4 linked regions of the Elephas maximus indicus genome follow. The protein of the gene in region 2 purifies or fractionates together with the protein of the main gene of each other region. This does not show direct contact. Links are inferred from orthologs where the notes say so. Each region holds a gene or a part of one and is shown on either strand. Other genes may lie near its edges.

Region 1 (7,102 bases), on a different chromosome or scaffold from region 2:
CTTATTCTTCTATTCTGAGATCTCAGAGGCTAGCACGCTGTCCCTTGTCCCTATTACTTCTGGCCGAAGCCTGAAATGACCTCAGACGCTTCTTCCAAGGTGGAATAAGAGAATAAAAGATGAATCTCAGGGACTAAAATACGAAGCGATGCCTCAAAATTGGTTATACATTTCTCTTCACAAATGCCTCTTTCCCAATTCTCTGTTCTGGGTGGTAACATTCCTTCGAGAGCTTTTTGGAAACGCACCTTTCTCTGAGGTGACTGCGCTCTCCTCACTTACTCAGGCAACACCAAACACTAAAAAACCCTACAGGACAGAACAGAACTGCCCTATAGGGTTTCCAAGGAGCAGCTGGTGGAGTCGAACTGCTGACCTTTTGGTTAGCAGCCGAGCTCTTAACCACTGTGAAACCAGGGCTCCACCAAACACTCAGCAGTATACATAATCATCTCAGACAAAGAAAACAGCACATGTGATGACCTGGGGGTTAAGAAAGGATATGGAAAACTTTAGTGACTATAAGCAGTTCAGGATGGCTGAAAAGATAAACCCAGGAGCCACATTTCATTAAGGAGATTCTATTCTATTCTGAGAGCACTACGCAATCATGACAGATTCTTTAAACAAAATGACATGATCAGAAATATACTTTACAAAGATCATTATGGTTACTATGTGGAGAACATATGAGAAAGTGGGAGGCATGACTGGAAACAGGAAAACACTGCAATAATCTAAAAAAACAGGTAATGGTTAGAAGTGGTGAGTATTGCTGGTTAATTTTAATTGGATTGGGAGGATGAAGGGGGTCAGTTTGGAGATGGGAGACGGTAAGGATGATGCCTAAGATACTGGCTTGGGCAATACGGTGGGTGTGGTACTATTTACCAAGATAGAAGGTAAGCAAAAGCCCTGAAAAACACCAACATTTAATGAATGGGAAGGGGAAGATGAGTTTGCAAAGGAGCACAATGGAAGCCAGACAGGTAGATGGAGCACCAAGAATATGCGGTGTCAGAGAAGCTCAGTGGAGAGACTTTGGAACAAGAGAGAGTAGTTAATTGTGTGAAAGTTACAGGAGACGAGTGAAACATCTAATCAGAGTTAACAAGATGGATGATGAGCTTGGTTCCAACCCTTCAGAGGTGTGGGCAGGGCAGAAGTCCCAGAGCAGTGGGTTGAAGAGTTAATGAGAGGTGGGGAAGCGGACAAAGTGAGTGCAAACAACTATTTTAAGAAGCTTGTCTGTGAAGGGGAAGACATACAGCAGATGAAAGGGGATATAAAATTAAGGGACAGTCTTTTAAGACAAGGATCAGTTAAGCAGTCAAGAATTTATCATCTGGAGTCAGATATTCTGAGGTTAAATCAGGGCTCATTAGCTATCTTACCAGCTATCTAACCATGGGCAGATCACCTAACATCTCCAAATCTGTTTCGGCAACCATAAAACAAGAATAAGGAGCCCTGGTGAAGCTGTGGTCAATAGCTGGCTGCTAACCAAAAGGTTAGCAGTTCGAATCCACCAGCTGATCCTTGGAAACCCTATGGGGCAGTTCTACTTTGTCCCATGAAAAAAAAAAAATTTTTTTTTCAGTTCTACTTTGTCCCATAGAGCAGCTATAAGTCGGAATCAACTAGATATATCGCAGTAGGTCTGGTAACACACACGTTTAAGTGCTCGGCTGCTAAGCAAAAGGTTGGCTGTTAGAACCTACCCATCGGCTCCACGGGAGAAAAGACCTGGCGATCTGTTTCTGTAAAGATTACAGCTTGGGAAACCCTATGGGGCAGTTCTACTCTGCCCTATCGGGTCACTGTGAGTCTGAAAGAACTCCACAGCACACACCACTACAGAAAAAAAAGAATAATACTGTAACAGTGCCTATCTCTTAGGATTGCTGTGAGCAATTAAATGAGATAATATTCATAAACCATTTGACATGAAAACCGGGCATCTGACTGTTCAGTAATTGTTTAGCTATCACAAGTTACAGAAAGAAGCCAGCAGAGAAACTGAAAATATCGACCGAAATAGAAAATGACGGGTCCATCAATGTGCCCTGAGAACCCCAGAGAATAGAACTTCCAGTCTAGAACAAGAATAGACGAAATAAGGCTTCTGCAGAGAGGGAGCCAAATCTCCCTTCTGCTTTCTCTGTGAAACAGGACAGAAGCTAATTTACTGAATGGAGAGCTGTAGGGTGGGAAATGTGAGATGTGGACAAGGATTTAAACCTCTGCATTTAAGCGGGAGAATGCGAGAAGACGCTGAAGAGAAAAACAAATCTGCAGAGATGTACTGAACGGCCAGTTTAGGTAGACAAGCATGCATTTACCGTGCGAGGCTGAGCAGTTTTCTCTAAAAGTGCTCTGGAGCCCCGAGGGAAGAGCCAAAAAAGCTGACAACACATGTAGGAGCAAATAAGCCAGTCTGGTTCACAGTCCGTGATGGGCAGTGGGAGAGCCGGGAAGACGGAGGGGAAGCCCTGGGGGAGCTCATAATACAGACGACGGCCAGCCCGGCTCTCCTCCCAGAGAGGGCCCGGTGCCCGAGACCCTCCACCCCACGGTCCCGTGGCTTACCAAAAGGCCCTCCACGTTAATCGGGTCTCGGCAGCGGCGGCGAATGGTCTCCTCCGCCGGGTTCACGAGGAGGCTGGGCAATTTCCTCGGTGCCCGCTGCTGACTCATGCTGCCGAGCCGAGCAGCCATTCGCCCCTCGCACCCTGCGCACTCTCCCGCCTTCTCCCGCTCTGATCGAGCTACGCCTCCAACACACGGCTTTCCGGGGGCTCAGCGCGAACCAGATCCTGCGACTCCTCCGAGGCGCCGCCTGTCTAGGCCGCCCTACACACAGGAGCGTCACTACCCCCACGAACTTCAGCGTCGCTAACACAGAAGGGAGGAAAGGAAGGTGACCCACTACTGTTCAAGATGTCAGGCCCGCCATGTTCCCGCATGCGCGGTGCGCCGCCCCCTTTGCGCATGTCTGCCGCTGCCGCTGCCGCTGCCGCTGCCGCTACCGCAGCGCTCCCACGCACTTATCTATTCCCAGCGGCGGGCTGGCCGGAGCGCGGGAAATCCCGGACGGCGGATCCTTCGGAGAGGGTGGCGAAGGAAAGGAAGAGGTGGGGCAGGAACTCCAGAGGTAGGGAACCGGGATGAGAGAAAAGAAAGCAAACATGTTGCCCGTCCAGTCGATTCCTACTCACAGCGACCCCACAGGACAGAGTAGAACTGCCCCGTAGGGTTTCCAAGGCTGTAATTTTTTAGGGAAGCCGACTGCCATATCTTTCTCCCGTGGAGCAGCCCGTGGGTTTGAACTGCCGACCTTTCAATTAGCAGCCAGAGCTTAAACCACTGCACCAGCAGGACTCCTCCAGAGAAAAGAGACACCCGGGAAAACGCCACTGTGGTCTCAGAATTACTGACATTAATAAGTAAACCTGAGCACGCAGGGATGCTACTTTATTCTTGTAGTTCCCTCTGCACATCACAGGCTCTTGCCCATAGCTGATGCTTAGTAAATGTTGGCAACCAAACCACTGCGCAATTGTTTCCTTAGATGCTTCTGTCTCTCCTTCCTCTTTTCCTCTTATGAGTAATTGTTGATTACCTATTGTGTCAGGTGTTTGCTGGACACAGGAGATACACATTTGAGTTTGGCATAGACTTGATCCAAGATCAGAGAAACAAATACATTTTTATATTATGGTCACATGTCACTTCCCTTCTAACCCGCCAATGACAAATTCCTCAGCATAGCACACAAGGGCTTCACAATGTGGCTCCCAGGGACCCCTTAAGTAAGCCTCACCTGGAGTGTCTCTCTCCCTTACACACCGAGGTCCGGTCTGATTTTTCAGTTTCAGAATAGGGACGATACTCTCTTACTTTTGGATCTTTGTACATCTTACTTTCTCTGCCTGGAATCAATAATTTCCCGTTTTTACTGGTCCTAGCTGACTCAACTTAGCCATCACTTTCTTCAGAAAACTACTTCTTTTTCCCCATTCCCCTAGTCTTTGTTTGATTTTCCATATTTGTTCCTCTCCCCCTCTCCTAGCCCTCAACTAGTATCCTGCGCATATTTCTTTTTTTAACCAGTTGCCAGTTTAGTCAATTCCCACTCATGACAATCCTAAGGTGTGTCAGAGTAGAACTGCGGTTTTCAATGGCTGATTTTTCAGAATTAGGTATTTCTTCCAAGGACGTCTGGGTGGACTCGAACCTCTCCAACCTTTCAATTAGCAGCAAGCACTTAACCATTTACACCACGCAGGGACTCCATGCATGTTTCTAACCTGGCTCTTATCAAAGTATTTTGAAATTGTACGATGGGGCAGTAATTGTCTTCTCTACTGTTCGGACTTCAAGTCTTGCGGCCTCCTTGTTCCAATGGAGAACTGTCGGAATAAGGCCTGAGAACATGCACACACACACACACACACACACACACACACACACACACACACAAAGTTTTAAACTCGAAGGATAAGATTCAATGAGAGATTGAAGACCTTTCATGATTAGGCTGAATCAATTTCCTTTACTCCAGTCAGAATAAATGTTTTCTTATCTGGTGACAAGAAGAAAGTTGGAAAAGGAAACAATAGAGATGTGAGAATGAGGACCCTGAACCTGCTCCCTTGTACCCAGTCCCAAGAGGGTGGGGGACATGAGCAGGTAAGTTTGAGGACCTCAGAGCAGACAGCATACTCAGGTGAGGCCCAGGGAGGTGGCAGGTCTCACTGGGAAGTCCTGTATGACCATGGCACAGACACCACGGTAGATGAAGTAGCAATGGCAGTGTGGTACTCAGGGCATGAGATGCCCAGAGACCATCTCAGCATTTCCTGCAGTCCCTGATGGGTAGAGGAAGTGTTATGGGTTGAGTTATATCCCCTAACCCTAAATATGTTGCAGCCCCACCCATGTATCTATCAATGTGACTGCACGTGGAAATGAGTATGAGGAGTAGGAGGAGTAGGAGGAGTAGGAGTAGTAGGAGGAGTAGGAGTAGTAGGAGGAGTAGAAGTAGGAGCAGTAGGAGGAGTAGGGGTAGTAGGAGTAGTATTAGGAGGACGAGGAGGAGTAGGAGTAAGAGTAGTAGTAGTATGAGTAGTATTAGTATCAGTAGGAGGAGGAGGAGGAAGAGTAGTAGTAATAGGAGGAGTAGTGATAATGATAATAGACATTTATCCAGCATCTACTACGTGTTTGGCATTCTGATAAATGTTCTGCACACATTTTCTCATGAAACTCTCGTGTCACAACTGAAAGATATGTGTCTTTCTGCCCAATTTGTAGATCAGGAAAATGAGGATTAACAAGTCCTGGCTAGGTAGCGGTAGAGCCAGAATTTGAATTCCACGGCTGATTAATTAATTTGGTATGCTTATCCTTGAGAGGATTCTGACTAGTTGGGGGATTCTACAGTCAGAGATGGGGTCAGGTGAGTGAGGTGGGTGTGGGTCCGGATAGGGGTGGCAGGCACTCCAGGCTGAAGAAATGGCATGAGAACAGCTGTGGAGAGTCAGGGACTTGTTTGGGACACACCTCCAGGCACTGACAGCACCTATCAGCTTTACCCTGAGAATCACTCACACATGTCACACACTTGCATCTGTCTTAGCCTGGGTTCTCTAGAGAAGCAAAACCAGTAAAGCATATAAATATATAATATATATGTAGAGAGATTTATATTAAGGAAGTGGGGCTCATGCGGTTTTAAAGGCTGGAACATCCCAAGTCCGTGGGTCAGGCTGGAGGCTTCTCCTGAGTCACATAGCCACGGGGGCTGGCAAACCCAAGATTGGCAAACTTGGCTCTGGCTCACAGGCTGCGAAGACTGATGAATTTCAAGATCAGTGGGCAAGACAGCAGATAAACTGCTAGCTCACGTCTCAAGAACTAGAGGTCAGATGAACAGGAGCAAGATCCAGAGCGAGCAAAAGCCTGTGGGCCTTGCCAGAAAATCCACCTATTTTGGATGCAGGCCACACCCCCAAGGAAACTCCCTTCCAACTGACTGGCTACTCACAGCAGATCCTATCATGGAGGTGATCCTATTATATCAAATCTCATCATGGAAGTGACTCCATCATCCTATGACTGCCAGACTGCATCATAACTGCCAAACCACTGAGAATCATGGCCCAGCCAAGCTGACACACAACCTTAACTGCCACAGCATCTGTCATGTGCCTGGCAGTAGGTTAGGTGTTGAGGGTACAACTAAATCTGACAGGGACCTTATGTTGTGTTCCAGGGGCACCCAGCCTGGTGGAGACACATAACCTGGAAGTGTAAGAACTAAATTACAACGCGCATAACATGCTGTGGGAGCACAGAGAAGAAATAAATGAAATTGAATTTTGTATAGCTTGCAAGTGCCTTCTCACACAACTGCCTGTGAAGAAGATATTCTTATAAAAGATCCGTGGGTGGTGCAGAAGATTTTTGCTTGACTACTAACCTATAGTACGTTGACAAAGAGCTGCCTGAAATTCAGGCTGGATTCAGAAGAAGACATGGAATGAGGGACATCATTGCTGATGTCAGATGGGCCCTGGCTGAAGCAGAGAATACCAGAAAGATGCTTTCCTGTGTTTTATTGACTATGCAAAGGTATTCAACTGTGTGGATCATAACAAGTTATGGATAACGTTGCAAAGAATGGGAATTCCAGAATACTTAATTTTGCCCATAAGGAACCTGTACTTAGACCAACAAGCAGTTGTTCGAACAGAACAAGGGGATACTGCAGGGTTTAGAGTCAGGAAAGGTGTGTGTCAGGGCTGTATTCTTTCACCATACCTATTCAATCTGTATGCTGAGCAAATAATCTGAAAGATGGCCTATTTTGAAGAAGAACGTGGTGTCAGGATTGGAGGAAGGCTCATTAACAACCTGCGTTATGCAGATGACACAACCTTGCTTGCTGAAAGTGAAGAGGACTTGAAGCACTTAGTAATGAAGATCAAAGACCACAGCCTTCAGTATGGATTATACCTCAACGTAAAGAAAACAAATATCCTCACAACTGGACCAATAAGCAACATCATGATAAATGGAGAAAATATTGAAGTTGTCA
Region 2 (7,953 bases):
GCTGTACTCTCATAGGAAGGGATGTACTGTCCACTTCAGGGAAGCCTTCCAGGTTTTGCTTATTTGCTTCCTGGTCCTGACCCTCAGTTGTACCCTATTAATTCCTTGATAAAACATTTCATTGTAAATATGGTCTGTGAGTTTTTTGTGGCCATTGCAACGAATTATCAAAACCAGCAGAGAAGTAGAGAGTGCGGGGGCGGGGAGGTGGGGGACTGACGTCAGAAACAGTGAAAAGTTGGAGAGTTGAGGTATGTCTGACCTCCACCTCACAGGAATCAGCTTTGTGCTGATCCTGATTCTTATTGTCCCTTGACAATTTAGATGAGTTCTGACAGTATTGCTATCGCAACACAAGCAGTAACTAGATCTGACCAGTCAATTCCAACTCATGGTGATCCCATGTGTGTCAGAGTAGGGCTTCTGTTTGCTTGTTTTTAATTTAATTGTGCTTTAGGTGAAAGTTTACAGCTCCAGTTAATTTCTCATGCAAAAATTTATATACATTGTTTTGTGACACTGGTTGCAATCCCTGCAATGTGACAGCATGCTCCCCCTTTCCATCCTGGGTTCCCCATGTCCATTCATCCAGTTCCTGTCCCTTCCTGCCTTCTTGTCTTTGCTTTTGGGCAGGAGTTGCCCATTTGGTCTTGTATATTTGATTAAACTAAGAAGGACGTTCCTCTTGTGTGTTATTTTTTGTTTTGTAGGCCTGTCTAATCTTTGAAAAGTAGGCTTCAGGAGTAGCTTCAGTTCTGGGTTAGCAGGGTGTACAGGGGCCATAGTCTTGGGGGTTGCTCCAGTCTCTGTCAGACCAGTAAGTCTGGTCTTTTTTCATGAATTTGAATTTTGTTCTACATTTTTCTCCCACTCTATCCAGGATGTAGAGTTTTCAACGGCTGATTTTTTGAAAATAGATCACTAGGCCTTTCTTTCAAGGCACCTCTGGGTGTACTTGAACATTCAACCTTTCAGTTAGCAGCCAAATGCATTAACCATTTATATCACTCAGGGACTCCTTAAAGTAGCAAGGGGCTAGAGAAATTGGGCTGCTCAGTGACAAGGCCCAGTCTTGATAAGTTCACATAGGGCTTTACCAAAGAAATGCAAGTGTACAAAGATGAAAATGAATTAAAGTCCTAAATTACTATTCACATCAGGAAAGCACTAAAAAAGAAAACTAGAGGAAATTTCTGTTCTAATATGCTTAGTTCTCTTTCCTGCCTATGTGCCTTGGCCATGAAAGTCCTTTTATTTAGGTCATTTAAAAGTATTTCTTAATTTCCAAACTTAGGAAGGTTTTCTAGTTATCCTTGTATTATTTCTAGTTTAATTACATTAGGTCTGAGAACATCCTCTCTAAGATCACAGTCCTTTGAAATTTGTTTATGGCTTAGAACATGCTCAATTTTTGTAAATGTTCCACGACTGCTTGAAAAGAATGTATTCTACAATGATGGGTGCAGTCTTTTATGTCTATTAGGTCAAATTTATTAACCAGGTTGACAGGTCTCCATATTCTATCAAGTACTAAAAACAGATGTGTTAAAATCTCCAGTCTTTCTACCCGGAAGGCCTTTCCTCCTTACCTCTGCTTACTTGCTCAGGTCTCCATTCCACAATCAGAGAATCAATGATGAGCACAGTCTGCTCTGGTCCCTGCAGACTGGTCCTCGTCCTCGAGAGCCTAAGAAGACTTCCCTGATCATCAACACCTCCCTAACACCATTTCAGACCTAGGAAAATTTCTCCCTCCTCTCCTTTCTTACAGCATTCACTGCCTTTTCTACTAATTCAACATTTACATAATCTGTCTTCATTATAATTGTTTGTGTTCATAATTTGCCAGGTTTTAAATTCAGGGAGGGTAAAGGCTACCTTATTTCTTTTATAACAGCTTTTGTTGTTGTTTGGTGCCGTCAAGTTGGTTCCAACTCATAGCAACCCTATGTACAACAAAATGAAACACTGTCCGGTTCTGTGCCATCCTCATGACTGCTGTTATGCTTGAGCTCATTGTTGCAGCCACTGTGTCACTCCATTTCATTGAAGAGTCTTCCTCTTTTTTGCTAACCCTCTACTTTACCAAGCATGATGTCCTCCTGCAGGGACTAGTCCCTCCTGATAACCTGTCCAAAGTACGTGAGATGTAGTCTCACCATCCTTGCTTCTAAGGAGCATTCTGGCTGTACTTCCTCTAAAACAGATTTATTCCTTCTTTTGGCAGTCCAGGGAACCCTGATGACATAGTGGTTAAGTGCTACTGCTGCTAACTAAAGGTCCGACAGTTTGAATCCAGCAGACGTTCCTTGGAAACTCTATGGGGCAGTTCTTCTCTGTCCTATAGGGTCGCTATGAGTCGGAATTGACTCGACAGCCACAAGTTTGGTTTTGTGTTTTTTTTTTTTGGTTGGGCAGTCTATGGAATATTCAACATTCTTTGCCAATGCCATAACTCAAAGGCATCAATTCTTCTCCAGACTTCCTTATTCCTTATTCCAGCTTTTGCGTGCATATGAGGCAATTGAAAATACCATGACTTGGGTCAGGTGCACCTTAGTCCTTAAAGTGACATCTTTGCTTTTCAACACTTTAAATAGGTCTTCTGCAACAGATTTGCTCGTTGCAATGCATCGTTTTATTTCTTGACTGCTACTTCCATGGGCGTTGATTGTGGATCCAAGTAAAATGAAATTCTTGACAACTTCAATCTTTTCTCCATTTATTATGATGTTGCTTATTGGTCCAGTTGTGAGGATTTTTGTCTTCTTTATGTTGAGGTACATACTGAAGACTGTGGCCTTTGATCTTCATCAGTAGGTACTTCAAGTCTTCTTCACTTTCAGCAAACAAGGTTTGTGTCATCTGCATAATGCAGGTTGTTAGTGAGTCTTCCTCTGATCCTCATGACCCGTTCTTCCTCATATAGTCCCACTTCTTGGATAATTTGCTCAGCATACAGATTGAATAGGTATGGTGAAAGGATACAACCCTAACGCACACCTTTCCTGACTTTAAACCACACATTATCCCCTTGTTCTGTTCTAACAACCACCTCTTGACAGCTTTATTGAGATATCATTTACGCACCATAAAACTCACCCTTTTAAGGTACATAATTCAGTGGAAAGCTGTCTCATTTATCTTGGCATGCACTATACAAATGATTCTCAATCTTGGATGCATATTGGAATCACCTAAAGAGTTTAAACAATACTGTTGCCTGGCTCTAACCCCAAAAGATCTGAACTTAATTGTTTGGGGGTGTGGTCTGGGCATTGAGGTTTTTCAAACCTCCCAAAGTGATTTTAACTTATGGCCAGGGTTGAGAACTACTGCCCTATAGCATTTTGTGCATAGCAGGCACCCAATGATAATTTGTTAAAATCATCAATTAGCCCTAGCTTCCAATATCAAGTTAATTAACTCACCGAAGAGCTACCATCCAGATCTAATACCCCATCAACTCATCACATAATGGTTTGCTACATGTGTCCGTCCCACTTAGGTCGTTTGAAAGGGAGACTCACAAACTCATTTAGAAAAGAGGTTTCCTTGTGAAGACATGCAGACTTCAGTTGAACAGGATCACTGAATAAGACACAAAACAGGTATTAAAGGAAAAAATGTAAAGGAAAGATTTACCGCGTTTACATTTGTCTCTTGCAGCATAAATGACATGCTCACATGGGGAGATACTGTCACAAAGATGGTGACATATCCCCAGATTTCTGCATTCAAAAGTCAGAGATAAAATGGTTTTCATTAGGGCATCAGTAATTTATGGAGAAACCTCAAGATTTCATTCGAGACCACATGTAAAAGTACTTCTGCCACTTTGTTTATCTCAGGGTGTCTTTGTTATTGTTTTGCTTTTTTCTTCTTGTGGGACTTGTATACTCTTCGAATGACAGCAGAGCAGTCTCATTTTTGCTTCCACAGCTGTGAGCGGCTCCAAGACAGGGACCGTTCAGGTCTTGTACATTAGCGCATTCTCGTGCTGGCACATGTTAGGTGTTCAATAAATATTGGTAGAATGAATGTGATCACATCTCTTCTCACAATATTTACATATGATTTAAACTGTGTAGGGGGCTGCAACCAGTTTCCCGTTTTGATCCTTTTTGCGATTCTTAATTATGACACTCTGAACTGGGGCACTCCGTAAACTGCCTGGGCTACAACAAACTCCAAAGGGGCTTTTACTTCCACGAAATCGGTTGTTGAAGGTAAGAAAGGGATCTGTGAAAGCAAAGCCGCACACTGAGTAGCAAGGTTGGTCACTCCGGGATGAATGAATACAAGATTCTCGCGCCTGGGAGCAGTCCCATAGAAAGGCGATTCTTGTAACACCACTTAACACCTGCCATTGACACCTTCTTCTCAGAACCTAATCCCGCAGGTCTGCATGGGCTTTCCGAGCCGCGCCCCCTAATTCGCAGCCACAGGACTCCCTCGCGGGCAAGTTACGCCCCAGGTCGCAAAGCGGGACAATTCGGGAATCAAGAAGACAAAGTAAAACTAGGTGCAAGAAGGAGAAGCAGCTTATTTAGGCAGCCAGCTACTCCCTCAGAACCTCCACCCTGTCCCCTGGGCCCGGCGCTCATACGGTGCCGGACTCCAAAAGCCCAAGCTCTCTCCACGTGTCCTCTCTTCCCAGAAGCCTCCTCTGCTGCCTCGGGAGGAAAACCTCCTGACAACTCGCGGTCTGTGGACTACGACTCCCAGAAGGCACCGCGCCGCTTCTCTCTCCGCCCCCCCCCCCACGGGACACGCAGGCGCTTTGGGCTTCGTCAACAAGCCGGGCTGGCGTCTCCTGGATGAAGTTCCTGATGGGATTTGTAGTTTTTCTGGCGCCAGCTGGGCGGTCGGTCAAAGGAATGGGAACTACAAGTCTCGGCGGCCTAAGCGTGACGAGTCGTCACGTGGCAGGGGGCCGACCGGGCGTGCGTGCCGCCGTTGATCCGGTGCTGCAGTGAGGAGGTGGTTCTCGCCCGTGTTGTGTGTGTGAGAGAGCGAGTGAGTGAGTGAGTGAGTGAGTGAGTGAGTGTGTGTGTGTGTGTGTGGGGGGGGACTCGGCTTGTTGTTGTCGGTGACTTCCCCCTCCCCTTCACCCCTCCCCCTTCCCCGCCGCCGCTGCAGTGGCCGCTCCCTGGGCCGTAGGAAATGAGCGATAACGATGACATCGAGGTGGAGAGCGACGTGAGTCCCGGGGCTTCTTCTTCCCGTGCGGGTTGTCAGGCGGGGACAGCGGCTGGGACTCTCAGCGGGGCGCCGGCGGGAGGGGGCCGGGCTGCCGCCGCCTCATTTCCCTTCTCTCCGGGACTTGGACCGCTTTAGTCGCCCTCCCGGCTCGCTTCCTTCCCAGCTCCTAAGCGGAGGGGCCTCCAGGGACTGGAAGTGGGGAGGAGACACGCGGCCTATGGGACCCCCACCTCCCCTGAGGAGGAGGGTGCTGCGGCCGCCCGCTCCTACCCTATTCCGCTCAGGATCCAGGGGACAGGGGTGGGGTGCGCTCGGGATCCCATTGTCCGGATCCTGGGAAAGGGGACGGTGCTCAGAACCTGTTCTCTCGGTCTGCGATCACTTTTTCCTGTGACCTGCGGATCCTGGGGGTGAGGGAGGGCAGAGAGGGATTGAGAGTGTCCAGAAGCCCCGAGCTGGGTGCAAGGGGGAAGAGACAGTGCTCGGGACCCCCTCCTACCCCGGTCGGATCCGGAAGGAGAGGCGGCGCTCAGGACCCCCCTGCCCCGCTGCCGGATCCCGCTGAGGGGTTGGAGCGTGGGGTGGGAAGGGAGGGAGGGGGTCGGACTGACTCCCTACCCGCCGCTTCCTCCGCCGCCGGCATTTTCTAATTATTGAATATGAAGTGTAAAAATAACTTTTATATTTTCTATTTTTTTTTTTCTCTTATTTCAGGAAGAGCAACCGAGGTTTCAATCTGCGGTACGTCTCCTACTCTCCATTTCATTTTCATTTCCGTTCAGTTCTAGTACATTTGGGGGTCAGAGAAAAAAAGAGATCGTTCTATTTTAACATTGTAGTAAATCTGTTAACCGCTAAGGTGAGGTGGGGCCTTGTTCTGGGATTCCAGGTATTGGGGGAAGGTTGCAATTCTCATAATTCCAGACTCTCGGGTGATAGGTTCCAGTGACTGTGAATGGGATGAGCTGTATGTGAAGAAAGGAATCGTTCCAGTAGTTTTCAGATGGGGAATCTAGCCACCACACTCTAAAGCAGGAAATGAGAAATACAGCGTTCTGAAGTAGACTGTAGCATAATTTCAGGGCAGTGTCCTCAGAAGATGTAGAACAAGGAGGTTCCAAACAATATCTGCATATTAGTCGTGAGTGAAGCTGAAGCACATGCAATCACCTTTAACCAAAAGTCATGTGACTGCTGTAGACCTAGAATCTGGCATGTGATACTGTAGTGCAGAAATTGGAAATGTAGAGGAGCCAGAGGTTGAATATGAAAGTGTCACATGCAGCTTATTGTGGTCTGACTTTTTATATTTGAGTTGAAGGAGAAGTATAAAAAATAGGAAAATTGTTGGAAGATGTGGCATTGGCAGACAGGTTTGCTAAGAGATGAGGACTCCATACACTGTATGGACTCCATACAGTGTTATCAGTAATTTATCAGGGTTATTAGTATTTTTAGTAGATGATTCTGTGGATTTAGGTGTACACTAATCTCATGTCTTTGGAGACAGAGCCAGTACTGTGAGTGTTCTGTGAATAATAGATTAGAGGGGAAGAAGGAATAGACAAAAAACAAATCAGAGAAGTGAAGGGAGAAGTATATCAGAGTATCTAATATATGACAGTGGGAAAGAAGGGTATAGAATAGGGATCAACAATTCAAATGTCTGTGGGGGCCAGGCAGCGAGATAGTTAGGAATACAGCAGTGGGAAGAAGTGAGGACTGGGGTACTGGGGAGCACACACCTCTTCTAAAAAGGCAGCCACTACTCAACTCCAGTGAGTTGTTACTATGTAGGGGTGAGGGTTCAGTGCTGACAGGTTCCCTATTTTTTTTAAGAAAGATTTGGAACCCGGATTTTTATGTTATTCTGATTTTTAAAAGAATGTGTGGAATATTCAAGCTGTTTAGTGGCTGGTTAGAGTGTGCATGATGCCACTTTGATACTTCTGGTATACGAATTTAATTACCACAGGATAAAAGCAGGCACTCTTGTACCTGCTCTTTATTAGAGCGAGCAAAGATTGTGCAAGTGGCCCAAGCAGATGCACAGTAAGAAAAGTGTTGCTTTTAAGAACTGATACTTCCATTAAACTGCAGGATACAGTTGTCCCAGGAGTCCTAAAAATTGTCCTGGAAAATAGTCGCTAAGAAGATTTTTTTTTTTTTGCCTTAGGTCTTTGAAGTATTACCACATACCTGTATTTGTACATATATTTGAAAATTGAATTCCTTATTTGGTTATTATTATCTCTAATAATTTAGAGTCTGTTTACATTAACTGATGTATCATGTTCACGGCCCAGTCTATTTGAAACATTTTTTCCTCCAAGTTTCCATTTTTAAGATCTGCCCCAGGGCCTGGTCAGGACTGGCGGGTAGGGATTGACTAGAGCTCTCATAGGCTTCCTTTGCAGACTTACCCATTCAATTGGAATTATTTTGACTCTCCATTGAGAGAAAAGCTTTCTTTGTGAGGTTTTGGCTCACGGTTCTTGAAAGTGTTCTGCTTTTCAAAATATTGAAAAGTTGATGTAAATTGGTTTATTAGATTATTAAAATGCCTCTACTCTCTTAGAATGCCAATCTCATTGTTTTCCCTAGATGTTTTTAGTTTGGTGTTAAGGTGCCTAGGATTTTTCCCTTAGATTTTGGGGGTTAGGGAAGGCGTGTGGGTTTGACCCTTTGTTTTTATTTTGACATATATACTTGTTAAGACTTTTAAGATAATCACAACAGCGTGGAGAA
Region 3 (7,987 bases), on a different chromosome or scaffold from region 2:
TGTATAAGATGGGAGCACCCAACTCTTTCCCTAGTTCTTCCCTCAAGTCCACTACAGGGTTCATGCCAGCCTCCCCACTTTCCCACACCTTTCACGTAGGGATTGCCGTTCTGATCTTCACACAACCGTAGAGTCTGTCTCTTGCGCTGCTGGCTAGGTGGTTCTAACAGGTCATAGATCAGCTCATTGTAGATCTCAAAGAAGGATATCCAGATGGAGAAACGAATGTCTGCTGGGACACTTACTGGGGCAGTGTCTGGCTGTGCCCATCGGTGACTTGTTTCTGGGGAAGAAGCCAACGTACAGAGCATCAACCCTAGAGTGTCCATCTCCCCTTTGGCCTGGGGATCCTTGGAAGGCAGAGCTCAGGCTGCAACCTCTGGTTTGTACCCCTGGCAGCTGCTGGGAACAGGGAATGGGTTCCTGTTACTTGGCCAAGAACCCAGTTATGGTACGTACCATCCAACTGGCTACTGCTGGTCAACTGACTAGTAGAGGAGAGCCCAGCAATGCCACTATCAAAGCTGGTGCTGGTACCCATCCGACTTTCAATGTAGACACTTCTCTTCAAGGAGGTGGACAGCTCCTCCTGGAGAGGCCCGGGGAAAAGGTTAAGCACAAAACTTTCCAGAGATTTGTACCACTACCCCACCTCTATAGACACCAACACTTCACCTCTTGGAGGCCTCCATTTAGCAGGGCTAGCTTCTTCATTTCTTCCTGCCGGATCTGCTTGCTGTCTAGCCAGATTACCTCATTGGAGAGCAAAGGCTTCAGATCAGGCGTCAGATGAAGTTGGCCTTGGAGGCTACTGAAGATCAGAGCCAGGGACCGGGGCAGGATCCCTCCATCCTTGATGGTCCCTAGAGGTTATGTGAAAGATGGACAGCTGAGGTAAGTGCCTTTCTCCCCCTAACTCACAGCATCGAAAGCAAAGACAACACCATTACAGGACAATCAGCAATCCTGTGAGGCCTTACCACTTACCTTGAATTGTGTGGGTTTTCCCTGAGTTGGTGACTCCATATGTATAGATGAGCCGGTTCTGCCCTCTGAGTACATCCTTTACCATCTCCTTCATTGTCAGGTTGAAGAAGGATGCCTGTCCCACTTCTGGCCCAAAGATCTAGAGACAGAACCAGTTCTTCAAAGGCCCATCCTTTATCTACCACTTGTCTCCTATGCAAACCCAGCAGATTCATTCCTTCCTGGGTGGTGGCTCTGGAGTCCACTTAAGCAGCTTCCTCCTACACTGCTACCAGCTGCTCCCTCAACACTGAAGATTCAACCAGTCTCTGTTACTACATCTTTCAGCCAAATCAACAGATACTTAAGGAACGCTGTACATTAGGTGCAATGCTGCACACACAATGGGGTAGTGTAACGGTCACAAAGGCGAGTTTTGAAGATGGATGGATTTGGATCCAAGTCCTAGCTCTACCACCAACTAGCTACATGGTTTTGGTAATGTTACTTACCTTCACTGTGCCAGAGCATCCTTTTCAGGAAAACAGGGACAATAATAGAGTTGTGAATAAATGCACATATAGTACTTGACAGAGTGAACTAGCAGATAACACAGACCCCCCAAATTGTAGGGGTGTATAACGGTGTTTCATAATGGTGTGTGTGTGTGAATACCCACAGACAGAGAGTGAGAGAAAGAAAAGCTTTCTTTCCAGAGAAAACAAAGTTGCCTCTACATGCTGGTCTCTTGTTCACAGCCCAGTACTTCCATACCTGGGAAAAGGTGAACCTGTGGGTAGCTTGGCCAATCCCACGTTCATTGCTTTTCAGGGCAAAAGAGTCCTTGGGTGCTTGTAGAACAAGAGTCTCTGCGTTCTCGATGTGGATACAACTCTGAGAAGGGGGGAAACATGGTTGTCACAGAAGGAAAAATTCCTGGGAACCTCTTCTGTACTGTATCATTCCATCTTGAATTGTCCCTCCTCAGACACTTACCTGATCCTCCTGCCGTTCCAACTCTGAAGGTAACAAGGGTCTGATCCTCAGGTATACTTTCACCTTCTCTGTACTATCCTCAGATAGAACCTGTGGCAGAATTCCAGCCCGGAACCACATTAATCTCAGCTGTCACCTCTGAGCAGATGGACAAACACAGCATAGTTCCTAGGAATCATGCTGGCACTACCCCAAAATTACGGACTTTTTCACTAATCTGTCACCCTTCCCTGTCTCATCAGTATCTTGCAAAACTAGCTTGCAAGATAATTGCTACACCAATTATCTGAGTTAGAAGTGGTGCACCAGGATAGTCTGGTAGTTTACAGTGAGAGACATCAAGATCCCTGCCTCATGAATCTCTCTATAGGAGAGGAGGCTTCTGGGTAGAGTTTTTCTGAAGACAAAACATGTTAACATATGTTAAGCATTTAACATTGGGTCTAGTACAATGGCTGTCAACCAAGGCCTTTCCCTGTCCCCTTGCCCCTGTGGACACTTAGCAGCATCTGGAAACATTTTTAGTTGTCACACTGGGGAGGTGCTACTGGCATCTACCGGGTTGCGGCCAGGAATGCTGCTGAACATCTTACAATGCACAGGACAGCACATCCCCCCCCCACAACAAAGAGTTATCCAGCTACCAACAATAATGTGGTTGAGAAACCCTGGCCTAACAGAAAGAAGGGTTCAATAAAAGGAGCCCTAGTGGTGCAACAGTTAAGCTCTCAGTTGCTAACCAAAAGGTTGGCGGTTTCAACCTACTCGGCAGCTCTGCAGCAGAAAGACTTGCTTCTGTAAAAATTATAGCCTAGGAAACTCTATGGGGCAACCAAAAACAATAACATGGTTGATATTATTAAAACATGAGTATAAGTTCCACCTACTTAATGGTAGTATAATCTTGTGTGAATAATTTAACATGTATGTGCCTCATGGTAAAAGAGAAATAACTATTATACCTCCCTCACAGGAGGAACTAAGAGCATGCACATAACATTTCACTGATGCAAAACAAATACTAGTTCTTATGGACATATGCATGTGAAAGCTGGACAATGAATAAGGAAAACCGAAGAACTGATGGCTCTGAATTATGGCATTGGCAAAGAATATTGAATATACCAAGGGCTGCCAAAAGAATGAACCGATCTGTCTTAGAAGAAGTACAGCCAGAATGCTCCTTAGAAGCAAGATGGTGAGACTTCATCTGATGTACTTTGGACACATTATCAGGAGAGGCAAGTCCTTGGAGAAGGATGACGTCATGCTTGGTAGAGGGCCAGCAAAAAGGAGCAAGACCCTCAATGAGATGGACTGACATGGTGGCTGCAAGAGTGGGCTCAAACAAAGCAATGATTGTGAGAATGGTGCAGGACCCAGCAGTGTTTCATTAAGTTGTGCATAGAGTCACTGTGAATCAGAACTAACTCGACAGTACCTAACAACAACATCAACACGGATACATACCTCTATGTTTTTTACTTGTCCTGGCACTTAATTTTAAACTCTCAGACCCCTGTATGGACTAGTAGGCTGGGGTTATCACTTGCTGCCTCCAAACAGCTCCTTTACCTGCTGCTTATCCTCCAGGGAGGTGGAGATGACAGAGCAGTCTGAAAGCAGGTCCTTGCGTATCACAGACCCCAAGTCTGCAGCTGTAGACTCAAACATGGGGGAGACTGCAACCTCCTCATCAGACAGCAAGCCCACTGGCGGAGAAAGGATCCCTTGAGACATGACAGCAAGGGCAGGTTTGGTCTAAAAAGAGACAAGAGTGGATAGGGAGAAGAACCTTAGGGACAGAAGGGGCCTGTGAATTTCTAGGTAAGAAACAATGCCCTTGCCCCAGGACACCTGGTCTGGACGCCTGAATTCCTACTGCCTTTTCTTTCCAAGGAAACCCTGGTGGCATAGTGGTTAAGTGCTACGGCTGCTAACCAAAGGGTCGGCAGTTCGAATGGGCCAGGCACTCCTTGGAAACTCTATGGGGCAGTTCTACTCTGTCCTATAGGGTCGCTATGAGTCGGAATCGACTGGACAGCACTGGGTTTCGGTTTTTCTTTCCAAGGAAACCCTGGTGGCTTAGGGTTCAGAGTTCGGCTTCTAACCAAAAGGTCGGCAATTGGAATCCACCAGGAGTTCCCTGGAAAACCCGTGAGGCAGTTCTACTCTGTTTTACAGGGTCACTATGAGTTGCAATCGACTCGACGGCAACGAGTTTGGGTTTTTTTGTTTTTGTTTTTGTTTTTTTTGCTTTTTCTTTCCAAAGTCTTGCAGAGGGAAAGGGGTGGGAGGAGTTAATTCCTTAACCCAGTCTCAGGCGGCATTTCCATCTTAACAGAAAAGAACAGAGATATCTGGCTCTAAAAGCAGAGAGCCACGCTCCAAGTGCAGTGCCTCGCCCTCCGATACTGTGAAACACGGGCGGAATCCAGAGTTAGGATCCGGAGGCTGCTTCTCCAAACTCGCCCCAAGGCCAATCGTGAATGTAGAAGTGTTCAGAAACAGAGAGATGGCAGCAGCTCCGCTCCTGAAAACACGTTCAGGGAGGGCAAGAGTTGTTAACCCCGGTTCCAGCCCAGGCGCACACTTACCCGAAAGCCGAGACACTCGCTCCCGCTCCGGTACCAGCTTGCTCACACACAGCAGCCGAACCTGGACCTGCGCCGCGGAGGACCACGACTCCGCCCACGAGGCGCAGCTTTGTTACTGATACAATGTTTTAAATTACGCGCTGCGTTCGTTCGACCAATCAGATAGCAAAGCCTGCAGTTACCAATCAGAGCATGGAAGGAGGGCGGGCGAGACTAGGAGACCGTTTGCTTTAGGTCGACCTCGCTTCGGTTTTGCGCGTCCGGGTTACCAACTGCCGCGAATCTGTTGTTGGGTCCCCAGGGATTCGTCACCCTTAACTGTTTTCTTGAACCCTAGACATTTCTTTCCTAAGAAGTCTAAAGGAAAGCCTGAGGTTTCAGCCGCCATCTCCTGTCCTTCCTTAGCAACACCTTCTGAGGAGCGCTCCAGAGGATTGGATTATTGTGCTTGCTTCCTCCCGGGAAAGAACTACATTTCCCAGGAGCCACCGCGAACAAGCGCCCGTACTCTATTTCCCAGACTTCCACAAGGTTCGCTTTGGCTGAACCCTCGTCGGAGCTTGGAGACTTCGAAGCTAAGATGGCGGCGGGAACGGGCAGTGAGTGTCAGTGCTTCTTTTGCGTGGAAAGCCTTAGTAGAGCCGAGGATAGGCACCAGGTTTCTGTCACACACTTAGAGAGTGGGAGGAGTGGTTTGCCTGAGAGCCCAGGGTCTTCAGAGACCTGCGCTGTACGGCGTCGTGAAGGCCAACGGTTAGAGGCCCAGAAGTGCAGCGTCTTGTGTCTCTGGGAGAGAGGGTGTGAGGGAAGCATCTCAACGAATCCTAAAGGGATAAAGGCCCTTAAGAAACTTGGGCGTGCAGACAAAGAGACGTTGTGCGCCTTACGGAGTGGCCGGCATCTCAAAAAATCATTCATTTTTTAACGAACGTTTGTGAGGCACTGGAAATAAGATGTTTTAACCGGGAGCTTTTTCTGCCTTTAGGGTAATTGCGTTTCGTGCAGCTCAGCCATTTCCCTCCGTTTGGTGGATAGAAAAGGTCTTTTAAGTCCCACAGTAAACAGCGGGGGTGGACTGACAGAAATAAGCAAGTTTATGCTAAAAAGGAGGCGGGGCGGCAGGAGGAGGTGGCCGTTCAGATTCTGGGAAGTAAGCCCTTGTTTTAAAATTGGAAGAAAATATGAGTGAAATAAGGCCTTTCGAGAGAACTGCTTAATCTGACATTAATGTTTTAATCTGACATTAATGTTTTAATCTGACGTTTTCTGTTTTTTAATGAAGCGAAGCTTGAAGCTGTGGCCTTTAAGAAAGTAAAGTGTTCTTCTGCCTTATTAAAAACTCATTGCCATTGAGAAGATTCTGACTCATACTGACCCTATACAACAGAGTAGAACTGCTCCACAGGGTTTCCAATGCTATAATCTTTACAAAAGCAGACTGCCACATCTTTCTCCTGTGGAGCTGCCTGACCTTTCAGTTAGCAAGAAAGTGCTTTAACCACTGTGCCAACAGGGCTCCTTCTACCTTATACTCAGTGCAGCTACCATGTAATGGATAAGTACCACTCTCTAGTGGTGATATTTCACTGTATGGGTGGATATCAAGATTTGGGAATACTGTTGCTGTGGAGATGATTCTGACTCATAGTGCCCCTATGGGACAAAGTAGACCTGCCCCATAGGGTTTCCAAGGCTGTAACCTTTAGAGGAGCAGATTGCCACATCTTTATCCCGTGAACAGCTGGGGTGTTAGAACCATGGACCTTTAGGTTAGCAGCCCAGTGCTTATCCACTGCACCATAGTAGCCCATTTTGTTCTAACACGTTGGGATGTTTTGTATTAGGCCTTTAGTTCTCCCTTTGGGGCTTAGAACTAGTGTCTCAGTGGTTGTGCTAAGCCTTCTCTCCTTTTAGAACACAAGCTGCTGAGTACTGGCCCCACAGAGCCATGGTCCATCCGGGAGAAGCTGTGTTTGGCATCTTCTGTTATGAGGAGTGGAGATCAAAATTGGTAAGGTATCTAGGAGGTATGTTTTTTTAGGTCTTAAAAACTGTAGGATACTTTTTCATGCTGGTGGATTTATATAGTTAATCATATTAACCTTTAAGTACTATTTTTCTTTTTAAAAAGCACCTTTATTGAGATGAAATTCATATACCATAAAATTAATTCATGTAAAATATACAATTCAATGATTTTTAGTATAAGCACAGAATTGTATAACCATCACCACAGTCTAATTTTGGAACATTTTCATTACCCCAAAAAAGGAACCCTTTAACAGTCACTCCACATTCCCACCTTCACTCATCTCTTCTAGTCCTAGGCAACCACTGACATAGTTTCTGTCTTGATAGGTTTCCCTATTCTGGGACATTTCATGTAAATGGAGCCATATAATATGTGGTCTTTTTTTGTGACTGGCTTTTTTCACTTAGCATAATGCTTTTAAAGTTTATTCTGGTTGTAGCATGTATTAGTGCTTCATTCCTTTTTATGGTTGTGTAATATTCCATTGTATGGATATACTACCTTTTTTTTAATCCATTCATCAGTTGGTAGACATTTGGGTTGTTTCCAACTTTGATTATTTTGAATAGCCCTGCTTTGAACATTCTGTACAATTTTTTGTGTAGACGTGTTTTCAGTTCTCTTGACTATATATGTAGGAATGTAATAGCTGGGTAACTGTATGTTTAACTTTTTAAGCAACTACCAAGCTGTTTCCCAGAGTTGTACCATTTTACATCCCCATCAGCAATATATGAAGGTTGCGTTTTTATCATATTCTCGCCAACAGTTGCTGTTGTCTTTGATTATAGCCATCCTAAAGGGTAAAAAAGTGGCATCTCATTGTGGTTTTGATTTGAGTTTCCCTGGTAACTAATGATTTTGAGCATCTTTTCAGGTGCTTATTGGACATAATGATGGGGCCCCTGTGGTGCAGTGGTTAAGTGTTTGCCTGCTAACCAAAAAGTCAGCAATTCGAATCCACCAGCTGTTTCCTGGAAACCCTGTGAGGCAGTTCTACTCTGTCCTGTAGGGTTGCTATCAGTCGGAATTGACTTTACAGCAACAGGTTTTACTTTGGTATTAGACATATGGCTATCTTATTTGGAGAAATTTATTCAAGTCCTTTGCCCAATTTTTTTATTAATACAGTTTATTTTTTAGAGTAGCTTTAGGTTTGTAGAATGTAAAAATGGCATGGGAGCAGACTCTGACCTCTTCACTTTTCACAAGGGGAAAGGAGAATCAAGATCAACAGTCCAAGGCTGATTGCTATGAGGTGGAGGTCAGTCATGCCTCCTTTATCTGCCATCTATACCATTTCTGTCACCAGCCATCTTTCCCACAGCACTTTCTACTTCTCTCCTGGGTTTAATAGTTCATTGCAGTGGCCACACAGAACTCACAGACAATGCAT
Region 4 (7,464 bases), on a different chromosome or scaffold from region 2:
TTAGATTCAGGTGGTAGGAGTGAAGGGATATAGGATCTGTTTTGGAGGTAGAACGACCAACATTACTTGTTGACAGCATGTTGGGTTTACAGGTGGGGAGAAGGGATTGAAGGGGAAAAAAAAATCAAGGATTTCCTAGAATCAAACAAAAATGAAAGCATAACATATCAAACCTTTGGGACACAGCAAAGGGAGTACTCACAGGGAAATTCATAGCAATAAATGCCTACATTAAAAAAGAAGAAAGATCCAAAATAATTAACTTAAAATGACAACTTAAACAAATAGAAAAGGAAGAGTAAAAGAAACCGAAAAGGAAATAATAAAGATCAGGGCAGAAATAAAGAAAAACAATAGAATCAACAAAACTAGAAGTTGGTTCTTTAAAAGTATCAAAAAAACAGACAAACCACTGGCTGGATTAAAAAAAGTAAAAAATCAAAGGAGGCAAATAACCAAATTAAGAAATGAAACTGGTGACATTACAACCGACCAACAGAGATAAAGAAGATCATTACAGATTTCTATGAAAAATTATACTCCAACAAATTTGAAAACCCACATGAAGTGGACAAATTCCTAGAAACACGCCACCTACTGAAACTAACACAGAGGTAGAAAATTTAGACAGACCCATTACAAAAGAAGAGATTGAAGATGCTATCAAAAAACTGCCAAAAAAAAAAAAAAATCCCAGGACCAGATGGCTACACTGGAGAATTCTACCAAACATTCAGAGAAGAAATGGCACGAATCCTACTCAATCTCTTCAAAAACATAGAAGAAGAAGGAACACTACTGAACTCTGTGAAGCTAGCATAACCCTGATACCTAAACCAGGAAAAGACGTCACAAAAATATATCCACAAGATATTTTTGTGAATATACAAAACTGGATATCCACAAAAATATATTCCTAAATCTGGGGAATATAGATATGAAAGCCATCCTTGATATCTGGCAAAAGAGTTGTAATTCTCCTGGAATCCAGATTTCTGGCTTTCATGTAGGTTGAGATAACCCACACAGGCTACTGCCTTTGGGTGTCCTTTTGAACCTGGGACTTTGATGGTAAATCAGTAATTAGTCTAATTAGTCTTCAAGACAATGCTGTATGAAACACCTAATGTTTGTAATCAAACTGTCACCCCCTTACTATGCAGAAATTTATGTATCTTAAATAAACCAAGTTCTCAGAGAAGATGGACCTCATGGCCCAGACTCCATTTTGTCTTCTGCTTCTGAGAAAGTAACCCATGCTTGTTAATAGGAGGGGCAGCTTGCTCTCAGGAAAAACTGCTTAGAATGTTTTAAATAGATTAACTGGAGACCTCCAGCAGGAGAGGTCCACCCTCTATTGTCTTGATAATCATGTATTCTCTAACGGAAACTTGGTTGTCACATGTAAATTTTTCTGTATCTTCTGTTTTCTCTAGACAAATTTTGTGTGCTCCTTATGGATATATGTTTTTGTGTGGTGGATCCAACTACGCTAGTTTCGATGATCCTTTCCAACTGACGGTGAATTTATATGGTCAATGTCTTGTTTAGATTCCTGGCGAATGCGTGGGCAATGCACTTTGGGAATTTTAGGATTACCTTTAGATATTCATAGTAATGATGCTAGTAAATATTGGAAAAGTGATGTTAAATCGTTACACATTGTAAAACGAGAGTCAGGAGAAAACCCACTTGTCCAACACTCAGGGTAGGGTTGATAGCTTTAGTTCCTACTTACACTATAGTTGAATTGGAGGAAACTTTAAGAAGTTTATCAGTTATCATGGGACCAACAGCAGATGAAGTTGCCAAGTGGAATGGAAGCACAATGGCAGTCTCTGACCTCATTAAGTCACGGTGACATGAGGTAACAGATTAGCTCTTAGATTTTTTATTAGCCCAAGAAAGTGTAGCCTGTGCTGTAGCAAATACCTCTTGTTCCATTTGAATAAATAACACAGAAGTAGAACAGGATATATGTAGACTGGACAACATGCTACTTTGTTACACGTTGTAATGCCCTTATAAACACCACATTTATTTGGTTGTGTTACTGGACCTCCAGGTCTCGCTGGGTGAGACTCAGAGACACAAGTCAGATGAAAGCAAAAGAAGAAAACTTGATTTGGCTGGCCTAGCAAAGGAGCACACTGGGACCTGCATTGCCAAGATGGCTCCTCAGTTGGCAAGCGCAGGGGTCTATATACGGAAAGGAGACAGGGTAGGGGTGGGCTCTTCTTCAGGTGTGTTCAGGGTGTGTCTAGGGGCATGGCCCATCAGGATTAGTGGACAGTCCCTGCATGGCCCATCAGGATTAGTGGACAGTCCCTGTAATGATGCTGAGGTCATCAGATAGTTGATGCACTGGGGCCATCAGTGAGGGACAATGCCAACTGGGCGGAGCTGCCCGCCTCACTTGCCATCCTGCGGTTTCCCACCTCAGTTAGTTACCATCAGGAATAAGTACATGGGTTAGATCACTATTGCAAGAATAATAATATTCTTACTCTGTGTCTTGATAGTATTAGGCATAATAAAATTTACCTTCTATTGTCTTACACACCTAAAAGGCAAAAGAAGGCCTCGGGCTAAAATGTTGGTGTACATTGAATCTGCTCATTTTGGCAATGAGATTGATGAGAACATTGCTCTTCAGATCCTGGTGACGGTATTCAGTGGAAATCCAGCACCATTAATTTAAAGAGCCTCCATCTAAGAATATTGAGTCCAGGTATTGATCATCAATGTATTATCGCCAATCTCTGATCAAAGGAAATGATTTAGGAGATAATATTGGAGCCATTGTTCCCTGTCCTAAAATGTGACCCAGCTGGAGCTGGACTCACAAGGACACATCAACTGGGCCCTGTGGTATAAAGATATTAGCTAGGACAATCTTAGGAAACATCTTTTAGGGAACTTTTCAAATAAACAAACAGTGCGCAAAAGACCCACATACCTTCCACTCTTATCTTTTTTCTATTAGCATTTAGCAAATAATAAGATTTGTTGGATCAGTGAGGGCCCTCCTGTCGTTACTGAAACCTGTACCAACGATTATTAAGAAAGACTATTCAAAACATAGAATCATGGCAATTTGGCAGTTTTTAGCGAATCTGTGAAAAGATGAAGCTTTCAGTGGTTTGGCCCATTTGTAATGTTAATATATACTGATTATAACACTCCTTGGACTCAGACACGCTCTGGAAGCATGTTTGTCTGTTTCCCCACTTTTGCTTATTCTGTAATATTCCTTAGACGGGCAGTCATTGGCGCTGGAACCACGCTTGTCCATTTCCCACTTTTACCTCTTTGAATATGTGCCGAATAAAACCTTTTTGTTTTACTAAACTTTGTGATTTTTTACCCTAGAACATTTAATTTTTTTAATGAAAAACAAAACTTTATTTTAAAAAAAAAGACCACTTTACCTTTTACACAGTGTGTAGAATAAATTGTTGTTTTACATATATCCAGCCTCCACTTACTACATTTAGAGTCTCAATCAGGACACAACGTAGCATCCCAAACCCAAACCTGTTGCGGTTGAGTCGATTCCGAGTCCTAGCGACCGCATAGGGCAGAGTAGAACCGTCCAATCAGGTTTCCAGGGCAGTAATCTTTCAAGAAGCGACCTTCCACATCTTTCTCCCAGCAAAGTGGCTGGTGGGTTCGAACCTCCAACTGACCACCTTTCCGGTTAGCAGCCGACTCTTAACCCCTTTGCCATCAGGGCTCCTTACAGCACGAGATAGGGAAACACTTCATAGTAAATCTTTAATTCTGCCTAACCGTGGAAAGTATCTAAACCTGGAGAGCCTTCGATGCCTCATCTTTGAAACGGTGATTGGATGCCTATGGGATCGAGATGATGCTCTTAAAGCGCCACAACAGCGCCTAGAACTCCCCTTGTGTAGGGGGTTTGTGGGAAATCCAAAAGGGATGAGGCTGCGAGCCTCGGGCTTTATTCAGGAAATGTTGGTGGAAGACGAATGTTGGAGAAATTTGAACACGCGGAGCATTTATGCATTGGGCATGAAATTATTCCAGCTTCTGCCTGAATGGGAAATGAGGAGGGCTGCCAGGCATTCAGCCCAAGAGCACCTCACATTTCTCTCTGGATAGACTGCGAAGTCCCACGGGGTTATCCTCCGCGCCTGACACAGTGCCTGTGTAGGTGCTTAAGAACTGTTTAATGAAGAATAGGGCCAGGCTTGGGGAAAGAGACTGGCGTGGAGTTTAAACAGTCAGCGCCAGTGACCTCAAAGCCGGGGCCGGGCGACGTTCACGTCACTATGGCAACGCCTTTACAGGCGTAACCCTCTGGGGAACTATAAGTCCCACAACCGCCCGCGGCTTCCCCGCCCGCAGTGGGTGGAGGCGCCGAGCGAGCGCGGAACCGGCTTTTCCGCCTTCCTGCAGCGTGATTGGCCCGTTGCTCAGGGAGGCGGCCAATGAGTGCGCTCGGGGCGAGCGGCGAGGCCAATATGGCTTCTTACACCTGGTGACGGTTGAAGAAATGGTGTTAGGGCTCATGGAGAAACCCCGGGGCATCGAGGTGAGAGGGTGAGGGCTTAGCGCCAATGGGCATGGAAACCCCGAGCGCTCCTTCGCCTGGCGAACCCTTCTTTAGGCTTTTTAGCGACGCCTTGAGGGTGGAGGTTGGAAGGATGGATGCACTTAGGCAGCTGGGCTGAGCCAGGGCCGCGAGCGATTGCCCTTGCCTTTTGCTTCCCCGCGGCTGGGCTGGACGTCGGGCGAGTGGTTGAGAAAGGAGTAGCCTCCCTGGCCTAGGAGATGGGGCGTTAGACCCAGGATCGGAGCTCTTCTGAATCTTCTTTGTTCTCCCCGTCTCGTGGTCGTGGTCGTATTCTTTAGGGATTGTGAAACTTGTCACATCGTGGTGTGAAGTGAAGGGAGGCTAAAGGTTAAAGAACGCTTACTCAGTGCCTAGAACGGTCACGTGCATTATCTCCCGGGTATACTCGCAACAATCCAGTGTTACTGTTTCGTTCTTAAGGTTACAGCACCTGAGGCTTACGGAGGCGGTGCGACTCCCCAGGAAGGTCACACAGCTGAACTGTGAAGGAAATCTGTTAGGCATGCAGTCAGGCTCCCAGACTCTACCTGTTATGCTTTTTCCACTCTCCTACAACCTGTAACCCAAACCAAAGCCACTGCCGTCGAGTCGATTCCAACTCATAGAGAGCCTACAGGACAGAGTAGAACTGCCCCATAAAGTTTCCAAGTAGCCCCTGGTGGGTTTGAACTGCCGACCTTTGTTTAGCAGTAACACTTAACCACTACACCACCAGGGTTTCCACCTGTAACCCACCTACCTTTAATCATTTGGCTTCTGGGCACTCTACATTTGAATGCAGTTTTCTACCACATTTACACGTGTAGTTGTAAACAGAAAGTAGAATAGCTCAAAAACGCGACAATGTAGAGGTACTGAAGTGGAGAATAGTAATAGCTCACAGTTTAGTTCTGTTACTGCTGGAAGCAGACCTAGCTTCTACATAATTTATCTCATCCTCACCACAGCCCTCTAAAGAAGGCGTTTTATCTCGCTTGCACTGATGAAGAAACTGAGGGTACCTGTACCCATTGCTGTCAAGTAAATTCCAACTCGTGACCCTACAGACAAGAGTAGAACTGCCCTATGGGTTTTCCAAGGAGCCACTGGTGGATTAGAACTGCCAGTGTTTTGGTGAGCAGCTGCAGCTCTTAAGCACTGTGCTACCAATCCTCCAAAACTGAGGGTAGCAAGGTCAAATATCTTGCACAAAATCACATTTAATAATTGGTAGAGCCGGAACACCCAGGCAAATCTGATTGAGAGCCCATACTTTGAACTGTTCAATTTGTATTTTATTTTCCAGACTTGCTGGAGTTAAAAAGGGTCTTTTCAAAACCAAGGAAACTCTATAAAATTAACCTTGTCAAAATATTTTTTAACATAAAAGGTAATGATAGTTGCCAACATTTATTAAGTGTTTGCTAAGTGCAGGTCACTGTTCTGAGTGCTTTACCTGTATTATTAACTCCTTGTTCTGCAAATCTTATGAAATAGGTTTTATTATCCTCATTTTGCAGACCCCAAAACTGAGAGACTGACTTGCTGCTGGTCATATGGCTAGTAAGCAGCGGTGGTGTTATTGTTGTTGTGTGCTTTCAAGTCAATTCTGACTCATAGTGGCCCCAAGTATTACAGAGAACTGCCCCATGGGGCTTCCTACGGGAGCAGATCACCAGGTCTTTTTTTCCCCAGAGCCTCTGGTGGGTTCGAACCGCTGAACTTTTGGTTAGCAGCTGAGCACTTGAGCACTGGCCCAATGCACGGACTCTTCACCTTGCTGTACCTTTTCTACTAGCTGCTAGGTAGATCCGTCTACAGTATCTCATTACCTCTCAGATACTCCTGAGCCAAATATTTTTCTTATTTTATAGTTGAGAAAACTGAGGCTCGGAGGTTAAGTGACTTGCCCAAGGACCCACAGCTAGTTAGGATCAGAGCTAGATCCAAAACTATGGTACGTACCACTGCGCCATAGCTCTCTGTGTGTCATTTGCCTCCTGCCTCCTCGTGTACAGTCTGGGTCCCCTCACTTAAACTGTATTTGAGCTGAGATTCTTTTGGTGTACCTATGCTGAAGGGGAAGAACGAGTTCCTACTGTATGCCTTCCATCCCAGAGTCTTCAGGAGGCATCTGCCAGAGGGTATTTTCATAGTGTTGTTTTCTATTTGAACTCTGTTAAAATATCATCATTTGTAAATCTACAGAATGAACTCAGTGAATTCCTAACTTGTATTTTCTATCCTGTAATGCACTTCATGGAATCCCTGGTGGCGTAGTGGTTAAGTGCTATGGCTGCTAACCAAAGGGTTGGCAGTTCGAATCCACCAGGTGCTCCTTGGAAACTCTATGGGGCAGTTCTACTCTGTCCTAAAGGGTCGCTATGAGTCGGAATCGACTCGACGGCAATGGGTTTGGTTTGGTTTTTGGGTATAATACACTTCATAGGAGCCCTGGTGCAGTGGTTAAGCACTTGGCTGCTCTCTGAAAGGTTGGCAGTTTAAACCCACCAGCCACTCTGTAGGAGAAAGATGTAGGAATCTGCTTCTGTAAAGATTACAGCATTGGAAATCCTATGGGGCAGTTCTACTCTGTCCTATAGGGTCACTATGAGTCGGAATCGACTTGACGGCAATAGGTTTGTCTTTTTTTTGTTGTTTTTATAAAGCTCTTCTGTTGAGTTGTGGTGGAGAAATATTGTACAAACAAGAGTAATGATCCTGGTGTGTGCGAAAAGGTGCCTAAAAGTGTTGATTTGACAAAGAACTAGGTAGGGGGCTGATAACAAATCCACGGCCTCCCTCCGCATGCACTGAGCCAACTTGGATTCCTCCTGCCTGGTTTGTGTCATTCTTCCACTAGGAGACCCCGTTTTCAGAACCAA

What was found.
Region 1: the proteins of MAX (region 2) and E2F6 purify together in Homo sapiens (affinity purification with mass spectrometry; 5 studies listed by BioGRID and IntAct, with this or other methods). This does not show direct contact. The link is inferred for Elephas maximus indicus from reciprocal best matches to the Homo sapiens genes MAX and E2F6.
Region 3: the proteins of MAX (region 2) and bromodomain-containing protein 8 purify together in Homo sapiens (affinity purification with mass spectrometry; 3 studies listed by BioGRID, with this or other methods). This does not show direct contact. The link is inferred for Elephas maximus indicus from reciprocal best matches to the Homo sapiens genes MAX and BRD8.
Region 4: the proteins of MAX (region 2) and L3MBTL2 purify together in Homo sapiens (affinity purification with mass spectrometry; 6 studies listed by BioGRID and IntAct, with this or other methods). This does not show direct contact. The link is inferred for Elephas maximus indicus from reciprocal best matches to the Homo sapiens genes MAX and L3MBTL2.

The regions. Positions count from the first base shown.
Region 1 is NC_064830.1:26,135,153-26,142,254, forward strand, and holds the start of E2F6 (transcription factor E2F6), read right to left. Parts: upstream 3,014-7,102; 5' UTR 2,719-3,013; coding exon 2,590-2,718; intron 1-2,589. UniProt on the Homo sapiens protein: Inhibitor of E2F-dependent transcription. Binds DNA cooperatively with DP proteins through the E2 recognition site, 5'-TTTC[CG]CGC-3'. Has a preference for the 5'-TTTCCCGC-3' E2F recognition site.
Region 2 is NC_064828.1:77,419,770-77,427,722, reverse strand, and holds the start of MAX (protein max), read left to right. Parts: upstream 1-4,937; 5' UTR 4,938-5,166; coding exon 5,167-5,202; intron 5,203-5,919; coding exon 5,920-5,946; intron 5,947-7,953. UniProt on the Homo sapiens protein: Transcription regulator. Forms a sequence-specific DNA-binding protein complex with MYC or MAD which recognizes the core sequence 5'-CAC[GA]TG-3'. The MYC:MAX complex is a transcriptional activator, whereas the MAD:MAX complex is a repressor.
Region 3 is NC_064820.1:151,248,701-151,256,687, reverse strand, and holds the start of bromodomain-containing protein 8, read left to right. Parts: upstream 1-4,974; 5' UTR 4,975-5,139; coding exon 5,140-5,158; exon of another isoform or gene 5,159-5,164; intron 5,165-5,198; exon of another isoform or gene 5,199-5,217; intron 5,218-6,473; coding exon 6,474-6,570; intron 6,571-7,987. Other genes in the region: kinesin-like protein KIF20A, read right to left, coding at 89-283, 460-589, 676-863, 988-1,126, 1,741-1,860, 1,963-2,052, 3,538-3,702. UniProt on the Homo sapiens protein: May act as a coactivator during transcriptional activation by hormone-activated nuclear receptors (NR). Isoform 2 stimulates transcriptional activation by AR/DHTR, ESR1/NR3A1, RXRA/NR2B1 and THRB/ERBA2.
Region 4 is NC_064822.1:185,384,257-185,391,720, forward strand, and holds the start of L3MBTL2 (lethal(3)malignant brain tumor-like protein 2), read left to right. Parts: upstream 1-4,454; 5' UTR 4,455-4,519; coding exon 4,520-4,558; intron 4,559-7,442; coding exon 7,443-7,464. UniProt on the Homo sapiens protein: Putative Polycomb group (PcG) protein. PcG proteins maintain the transcriptionally repressive state of genes, probably via a modification of chromatin, rendering it heritably changed in its expressibility.